Mus musculus: one gene and its partner. The protein of the gene in region 1 purifies or fractionates together with the protein of each later gene. This does not show direct contact. Links are inferred from orthologs where the notes say so. Each region holds a gene or a part of one and is shown on either strand. Other genes may lie near its edges.

Region 1 (3,808 bases):
GAAGAACAGTCAGTGCTCTCAACTGCTGAGCCATCTCTCCAGCTCATGTTTCAAATTTTTAAGGTGCCCTTTATACCAGAAGACTTAAATGTGGGTAACTTGCTAAGCCATGGTCAGAAAAGGATGTCTCCTAATGGCTAGACTAAGTCCACCCTACTACAGAGCAGCTGGCTTCTTCTATTTCAGGTAGTTTTAACCTTGAATTCTGCTGTGCCCTTTTCCCTGCAATGTTCTTCCCCTAGATAAACCCACAAGTCCCCACACCTCAATCCCCTCCATGGTTTCTTTACCTCAGAAAGGTCTTTTAGAAAACATGCTTGCTGGGCAGTGGTGGCACACGCCTTTAATCCCAGCACTTGGGAGGCAGAGACAGGCGGATTTCTGAGTTCGAGGCCAGCCTGGTCTACAAAGTGAGGTCCAGGACAGCCAGGGCTATACAGAGAAACCGTGTCTCGAAAAAACAAAAAAAAAAGAAAACATGCTTTTATTTTTTATTTCCTTTTCTCACAGGATCTCTACATAGCCCTGGCTGTCAACTTGCATGTAGACTAGGCTGGCCTTGAAATAGCAATCCTGGTGCCCCTGCCTCCCACCTGCCTGGCTAGAAAAAGACTTTCAAAATTCTAAACTCCTGTCTGCATTCTCTGACTTCCTCCATTTTGTTCTACTTTTCCTGCCTTCCATAGCCAGTATTCCTTTTACATGTGCAGCCATGCATTTCAGTGACAGGGCGTCTCTGTGGGAAATACACCTTGGGTGTTTTTGTTATTGTATAAAAATAAGCCGGTATCTTAGGAGACCATTGTTTCTGTAGCACACTGTACACACAGGCAAATACAAATTACAACGTATAAATCCCGGCTCTTTGTCTCCTGCTGGTTCTCTAAACCCAGAGTGCCTGCAAAATATTCATTCAGTAAATATTTATCAACCCCCTCAACAGGTAGTAGCGAAATGCTTCAAGTTCTTCAGACGCTCTCTGCACATTCATTTACTGAGAAAAAACAAACAAACAAACAAACAAAACCAAAACCAACTTAGCAGTGGGGGCCAGGAGCTGGAAAAATGGCTCAGTGGTTAAGAGCACTGCCTATTCTTCCTGAGGTCTTGGGTTTGATTCTCAGAATCTACATGGTGGCTCACAACTACCTGTAACTCCAGTTCCAGGGGACCTGCTACCATCTTTTGGCCACCTCCATAGCTCCAACTTTGTTTTTATTGAAGATAGGGTCTCATGGAGCCCAGGCTGTCCTCTTGGACATACAACTTGGTATAGAGTTGTGGATGACCTTGTATTTCTGAATGTCTGTGGTGGTTTAAATGAGAATGGTCCCCAGAGGCTCATATATTTCAATGCTTGGTGCCCAGTTGGTAGAAGTGTTTTGGGAGAGATTAAGAGTTACAGTCTTGTTGGAAGAGGCGTTGTCACTGGGGACAAATTTTAAGGACTCAAAGGCCCAGGTTATTACCAGTAATCTCCCCCCCCACCCCCGTTTGTGTCTGCCCCGTGGTTTATATCTCACAATTACTAATTACAATTACACCAGAGCCATGCCAGCCTACTGCCATGCTCCCTGCTACGGTGATCATGGGCTCTGCCTCTGAAACTGTAAATCCCCAATGAAGGTTCTCTTCTATAAATTGCCTCGGTCATGGTGTCTTATCACGGCAATGAAAAAGTAACTAAGACAACTTCCTACCACAGGATTACTGGCATGGGCTACATGGTACTGGGGCTCCGAGCTCTGTCTGTTCCAGACAAGCATTTTACTAACTAAGCTACATCCCCAGCTCTTAATTTATCTGTTTTATTTTCTTGGCAGCATTGAAGATGGAACCTTTTAACCCTTTAAAGATTTTAAAAAAATTGTATGTGTATGAGTGTATACCTAATAAATAAACTTTATTTTTTAAAGTCCCTGGGTGGTGGCAGTGTTTGCCTTTCACTCCAGAACTCGAGGCAGAGACAGGTGGATCTCTGATAAGTTTGAGGCCAGCCTGCTTTACAGAGCTAGTGTTAGACAAACCCTGTTTCAAAAAAAAACCCCCGTAAAACTGTACTGAGGTCTTTTACTTTTTGAGACAGGTTTTCGTGTAGCTCATGCTGGCTTCAAACCTGCTAAGGATCTGAGGATGCTCTAGAAACTCTGCTGCTTCTATTGTATCTGCTGGGTGCTAAGATTACTCTGCCTCGACTTTTATGTGGTAGCTAGAGATTGAACCTGGGTTTTATGCATTTTAGGTAAGCACTCTACAAACTGAGTTATATTTTCAACCCACTGAGGGATTTCTTTTCTCTTCTTTTTTCCTTTCTCCTTTCTCCTTTCCTTTCCTTTCCTTTCCTTTCCTTTCCTTTCCTTTCCTTTCCTTTCCTTTCTCCTTTCCTCTCCTTTCCTCTCCTTTCCTCTCCTTTCCTCTCCTTTCCTTTCCTTTCCTTTCCTTTCCTTTCCTTTCTTCCTTCCTTCTTTCCTTTTTAACAGACAGGGTCTCATTATGTAGCACTGGCTGGCCTGGAACTATTCAGACCAGGCTAACCTCAAACTTGTAGAGACTTGCTTGCACCCCACCCCTCCAAGTGCTGGGATTAAAAGTGAGTGACACCATGACCAAACTATTTTTATTATTTTTAATTGTGTGTTGTGTGTGTGTGTATGTGTGTCCTGGGTGTGTGCTTGTGAATGTAGGTATCCTGAGAGGCCAGAGATGTCTGCTCCTGTGGAAGTCATAGGCAGTTGTGAGCTCCCACACGTGGTTGCTGGAAACCAAACTCAGATCTTCTGCAAGGGCAATCCTTGCTCTTAACTAGAGAGCCAGCCTGCAGTCCCTATTCAGATTGTTCTTAAAGGTACCCTTTACTTGAACTTTAGAAGGGGAAAAAAGCAAATTTACCTTAATGTGTTAAGGTCAACAATGAATTTCATTGTCTTCCACCTGCCAAAGAAAGAGAAAAGGAACTCAGCTATTTGGCTACATTTTTCCATTTGTCAGTGGGCTGAGCTAGGGATTCTTAAAGAGATTGCAAGGCAGGAAAGGACCAGGAGAGGGAGTCAGTCAGGACAGAAACGGGCACACTGGGGAGATGTCATGGTGGGCTCAGAGGTACATATCCATACCTTGGGGTCTAGCAGGGTATGGATAGCCAGAGGCTGGGGCAACTTGTCCACACTGTTGATGGAGCATTCTTGGGGGAGGAGTTCCTTGGCCAGCTGTCCATTCTTCTTCAACCTGCAGGCCTCTTGGTATGGGGGTGCGATGGGGGGCTGTGTGGGTGGAGTATATTTGTACTCAGAGCCACCGTCTAGCTGTAGGACACAAGAGATGATGAGGATCTGCCAGTCCAAGACAATCTCCTGCCCCCTGCCCCGCTGGCTGGACACTCACATCCAGAGAGTAAGTGCGGTCCGAATCGTAGGCGCTGAGGTCCCCACAGGCCACAAAGGGCACAATAACACGGGTGGGACCATCCAACTGGTTGAAATCTGTATCTTAGAAAGAGGCAGAGTGAAGATACAGTCTACACCAGCACTGAAGTCCCCCTCCCCACCATCATGGTCCTTTTTCCCTCTGGTGCACATTCCCTTCTGATCACTGTTGCTAAAATGTCAGCCTGTGGCCTGGCTTTTTCACTGTACCATGCCCGCTCAGCGTTTTACCAGTACATTCTACCTTGTCTCATGCAAATAGGATCTACAGAGACAGGTTCCACCTTTGCCTATCAGGTTAGAGGCTACAGACTTCCACAGGGGACATGTTTAATACAGGTGAGCTTTCTACCTGAGGGGTTCCCTAAGGTAGACACTTAGGATCT
Region 2 (4,317 bases), on another chromosome or scaffold:
CTCCCCCAGTGACCACCCAGGCCTGCCTCTCGTGAGTGGCTATGGCCCGGATACCTCGGCCCCGGTGGCCCCGAAAGGCTTGAAGGATCTCGCCTTCGTGGCTCCACACCAAGCAGACACAGTCTTCTCCTGCACTGATGAGATAGTTCTCTAAGAGCTTCACCTGCCACACTCGGGCACTGTGCCCAAAGCAGTGGCCAATATTCTGAACCCGACCCCCAGGCACCCGGAGGTCCCCCACCTTCCAGAGACGAACACTTCGGTCTTCTGAAGCAGTTGCCAGCAGGCCCTTGCTTTCCAGGTATGACATGCTAAAGATGACACCCACATGGCCACTAACCCGCCGGTCAGGGGCCACGGGTTTGTTGTCTGTTAAAGCAGTGGCTGGGTACCAGATCAGGAGCTCATTGGAAACCGCGCCAGCCACGATGGTCAGTTCCTTCCAGGTGTCACCAACCAGGCAGGCTGAGGACAGGGTACACCTGTCTGTGCAGGGGACGTCCTGCAGCATGCACCCTATCACTGGGTCATACAGTACCACCGAGTTGTGGCCCAAGGCCACGGCTACGTTACCCTCGATCCAGCGGACATCCCAGATCCAGTCGGACATGTTCCACAGGCCAGAGCGCCAGAGCTCCCGAAGATGGCTTTGACCCCAGCTGACTTTCACAACTTTGAGGCCCTTGCTCCCAAACACAGCTATCATGGCCTCAGAGTCCAGGTCTCCTTTAGGCTCTGGTCGCACTCGGAACCCATGGATGAGAAAGTGACCAAGCAGGTTCTGGACTCTCTTCACCATTCGGAGATGCCCACCAAGGTCCAAGTTGTACACCAGTAAATCAGGCCCCTCGCCTAGACAGAGGTAAAGAGCCACATCAGCACCACACACGCACGCACGCACCTGATCCTAGGACGCATGAGTGGAGCAGGCCACTCCTTAGCATACAGACTCAGAATATACCAGGACACAGCATCCTACCAAACCCGTGCCTCCACTTCAGCCGGACCTCAACTGCAAAGGCACACTCCTGTCAGTCACTCGTTTTTGTGGTAAGGTTCTCTCAGAGAGCCCAGGTTGGCCTTGAATTCAAGATCCTCTTGCCTCAACCTCGAATCTGCTGGGACTGTGGCAGTATGCTGTCATGCCTGGCTATCCATCACCCTTAATGACAGTCACTAGGATTTCCTCTGGTGCACACCATCCTTACACTTCAGATGGAAAGCCCTTGCTCTGCTCTAGCCCAAACTCTCAGCTCCACCTGCCTCTGCATGCATTTTCCAGATTCTCCCTCCCTTAGGGAAAAGGCTGTGTCGACCTTTGCACCCTTTAGCCATCAGCATCCTTCATCAGTCTAATCCCTGAGGCTCAACAGAGGCGATGGGGTGGGTAGGTATGTGGTTTTGTGTGTGTGTGTGTGTGTGTGTGTGTGTGTGTGTTTGTGTGTGTGCATGCGTGCTGAAGCTGCCCACACTTTGGCAGGCAGGGGTGAGGCTTGCATTCTGGCCCCACCCCTGGACAGCTGTGAGATCGTCCTTTGTATGCGACTGAGACTTAAAAGCAACAAGGCTTGGGAGGAGAGATGAGGTGCAGGTATTAAGAACCTGGACAGCATTTAACACAGCAGAATCAAAGCTAGCGTCTTCTGAGTTAGGAACATTCCTAACTTGTGCTCAAGAGGGGCTTGTCCAGGGCCTCCCTCTATACAAATCCACATACTTCCCGGGGAATCTCTTACACCCCCATACATGTGTATAGAACCCACAGACGTTTTCTAGAATGGGACTCTCAGCTCCCTTTTGGTCATCTTGCAGCCGTTTGTTTCCCACGATCTCCTCCTCCTCGGACTCGTCAGGATTCCTCATTACCTTACTCCTCTCTTAATGTCTCTTTCTTCAAAATTCTACGGATTTCATTTCCTGAAGTTTGCCGGTCCCACCTCCAGAGAGTTTAGCTCACTGGAGCAACCCAATGTTTGCACTTGCACACACACGCACGCACACGCACACACACACATCAACTCTAGAATATACCCTCACCACAAGACAAACACGCAGCCCTGCTGAGGCTAATAATGGCTGACCCAAGGCCTAATTGTCAGTGCCAAGGGTCCTTGTAAAACCCAACACCACCATCACCAAAGGATGGCTTCGCATCAGGCCCTACTGCTTCCAGGACACTTGGCACCTCAGAGCCATCTCAGACCTTTACCACCAGACACTGAGACATGTGATTACTAACCCAGTTGGCTCAGACCCCCCAGTTGGTTCTCCAGAGGAACCTAAGCCCCAGCCTCTCTGGATACTGCTCTACTCAGAAAGCAATTTTTTGGCCCCCTCATCTTTGGGGGCGGAGCTTCAACCCTCTCCAGAAGCCACACTCCCGCCACACCCCCTGAGGCTGCCCTTTTTTTTTTTTTCTTCCTCTCCAGGGGTTTTGATCATTTGCGTTCACCTGAGGGTGCAACGTCCCTCCCCCAACATGGAACGACTGCGTCCCCCACACCTTCAAGCGTCTCTGTCCACCCTTTCCAAGCTGGCTGCAATTTATGAAGAGCTGCCACTGTCTCTCGAGCCCCGCCCTCCTCCGCCGGCCTGTGTTTCCCGCCACCTCCGAACCTGCCTTATTCCCCCCACTCCCACCCCTCGCCAGTCCCCAGCCCGCTGCCCATCCTCCTCCCCAGGGCATCCCTTTGTCCGGTGCGACCACCCAGGGAGAGGCTAGTTCTTCGCCCGCTAGCACGACTAGAGCCGACCAAGCCTCACCCGCCAGCAGCCTGTCCCCAACACACTCCAGACCCGTAACCGGGAGGAGTATGAGCTCGGAAGTCGCCCGCGGCCAGACATAGTCCCCGAAAGCGTCCATGACGTTCCTGGAGCTGCTGTGGCTGCCACGGACAAGAAGAGAGCTGCGTTCTCGCGAGAACCAGCCGTCTGGAGAGCCGCGCTGCAGAGCTCCGAAGCCCTTAGCTACAGGTAGCAAAGCCCTGGCGCTGGGCTGCGGACGTCCAATGACGACCCTGTCCCCCACGCGATCCCGCTCCTGATTGGCCGGATCAGAGTCACCCCCCCACACACACACACATGAGACTAGCCGGGAGGGGCGGTGGGCCTCCCCTCCCCCAAGCGGGCGCTTAGCTCGCCGGCCCCTGGCTGGAAGCCCTGTAGTTTTATTTAACGGAGCAGCATGGAGGCTGTACACCAATAAATAACGTGAATGTAGGAACTGCGCCTTTGATCGCGGCTGCAGGCAGGGAGGGCTAGGGCAAGAGGTCGGCCAGAACTTCAGTCTGCAGTAGGACAGAGGACCTGCAGGGTCTTTGACGTTGGGCAGCGGGTGATTCGCATCAGGGCCTTGCGTCAGAGCTCCACACGGGCATCACTGTAGGCTCGGTCCAAGGCCCACTCGGGTTGTGAGTCCATGCCACCTTCCCGAGCCAGACGAGCCATCTCCTGCTGGAACAAGGCTTGCCGTGCCCGGCTAGGGTCCACATTGATCCAGTTGTTAGCGATCCACTTGGTGCCGCGGGTGACCAGGCAGCCCCCATGCAACGAGTAGTCGTCCACTTCACCCACCCAGCCTGGGGTAAGAAGGTGACATGAACAAAGGACAAGTTAGGGAGGGGAAAACCCTAGATTGGCTCAGCCTGAGCTGTGCACACATCTAATCCCCATGGAAGGACTTGGCGTCTCACCCACTAAGGCATGGTCAACATACTGGCCCTTAAAATTAACCAAGCTTCCTTGCTTCTGAGCTTGGCTATAGCTCTTCCCAGCCTGGGTTGTGGAGAGAAGTTTCCCTGCCCCAGACAGCAGGAAGGCTGGTGCGCAAGGACGGTGGGCGGAGATAACCGAAGATACTGTACTAGTGCTACTGTGCTTTGAAATCCCTGGCTATGGAAGACAGGAACAGTCCTCCAGGAGAGCAGGAGGGAGAGATGAGTTCCCTCAGAGAAGCCCAAGACCTGGCCATGAGTAAAGCCCTCACCTTGCCCATCAGGAAGGTAGTTGTACCAAAAGACTGCAGTTCCTTGCTGGGGCTTGACACGAAGGTTGCCCTTGTCACAGTGCCTTCGAGTGTCCCGGAGATCGACATCATCCTGAATCAGACTCTGTAGGCAACAAGGTGAGGCTGTTTGTGGACTGCCTGCCATTGCAGGACCAGGCAGCCAAGGTTGGCTGGAGGGAAAACAGGCAGATGTGCCCTCGTCCCAGCTCTGGAAGGGTGTGTACACACTTGCCCAAGGCCCTACCAGCCCAAGAGTAATAACAGCTCACTGGCCCTTACCATTTCATCATAGGTCCTGTTGTCTGCCACAG

The links.
Region 2: the proteins of Ftsj1 (region 1) and Wdr6 purify together in Homo sapiens (affinity purification with mass spectrometry; 3 studies listed by BioGRID and IntAct, with this or other methods). This does not show direct contact. The link is inferred for Mus musculus from reciprocal best matches to the Homo sapiens genes FTSJ1 and WDR6.

Annotation. Positions count from the first base shown.
Region 1 is NC_000086.7:8,242,171-8,245,978, forward strand, and holds part of Ftsj1 (putative tRNA (cytidine(32)/guanosine(34)-2'-O)-methyltransferase), read right to left. Parts: intron 3,486-3,808; coding exon of another isoform or gene 3,480-3,485; coding exon 3,382-3,479; intron 3,303-3,381; coding exon 3,114-3,302; intron 2,932-3,113; coding exon 2,905-2,931; 3' UTR 2,890-2,904; intron 1-2,889. UniProt on the Homo sapiens protein: Methylates the 2'-O-ribose of nucleotides at positions 32 and 34 of the tRNA anticodon loop of substrate tRNAs. Requisite for faithful cytoplasmic translation.
Region 2 is NC_000075.6:108,575,731-108,580,047, forward strand, and holds the start of Wdr6 (WD repeat-containing protein 6), read right to left. Parts: upstream 2,984-4,317; 5' UTR 2,864-2,983; coding exon 2,764-2,863; intron 853-2,763; coding exon 1-852. Other genes in the region: P4htm (transmembrane prolyl 4-hydroxylase), read right to left, coding at 3,358-3,578, 3,986-4,109, 4,286-4,317. UniProt on the Homo sapiens protein: Together with methyltransferase FTSJ1, methylates the 2'-O-ribose of nucleotides at position 34 of the tRNA anticodon loop of substrate tRNAs. Required for the correct positioning of the substrate tRNA for methylation.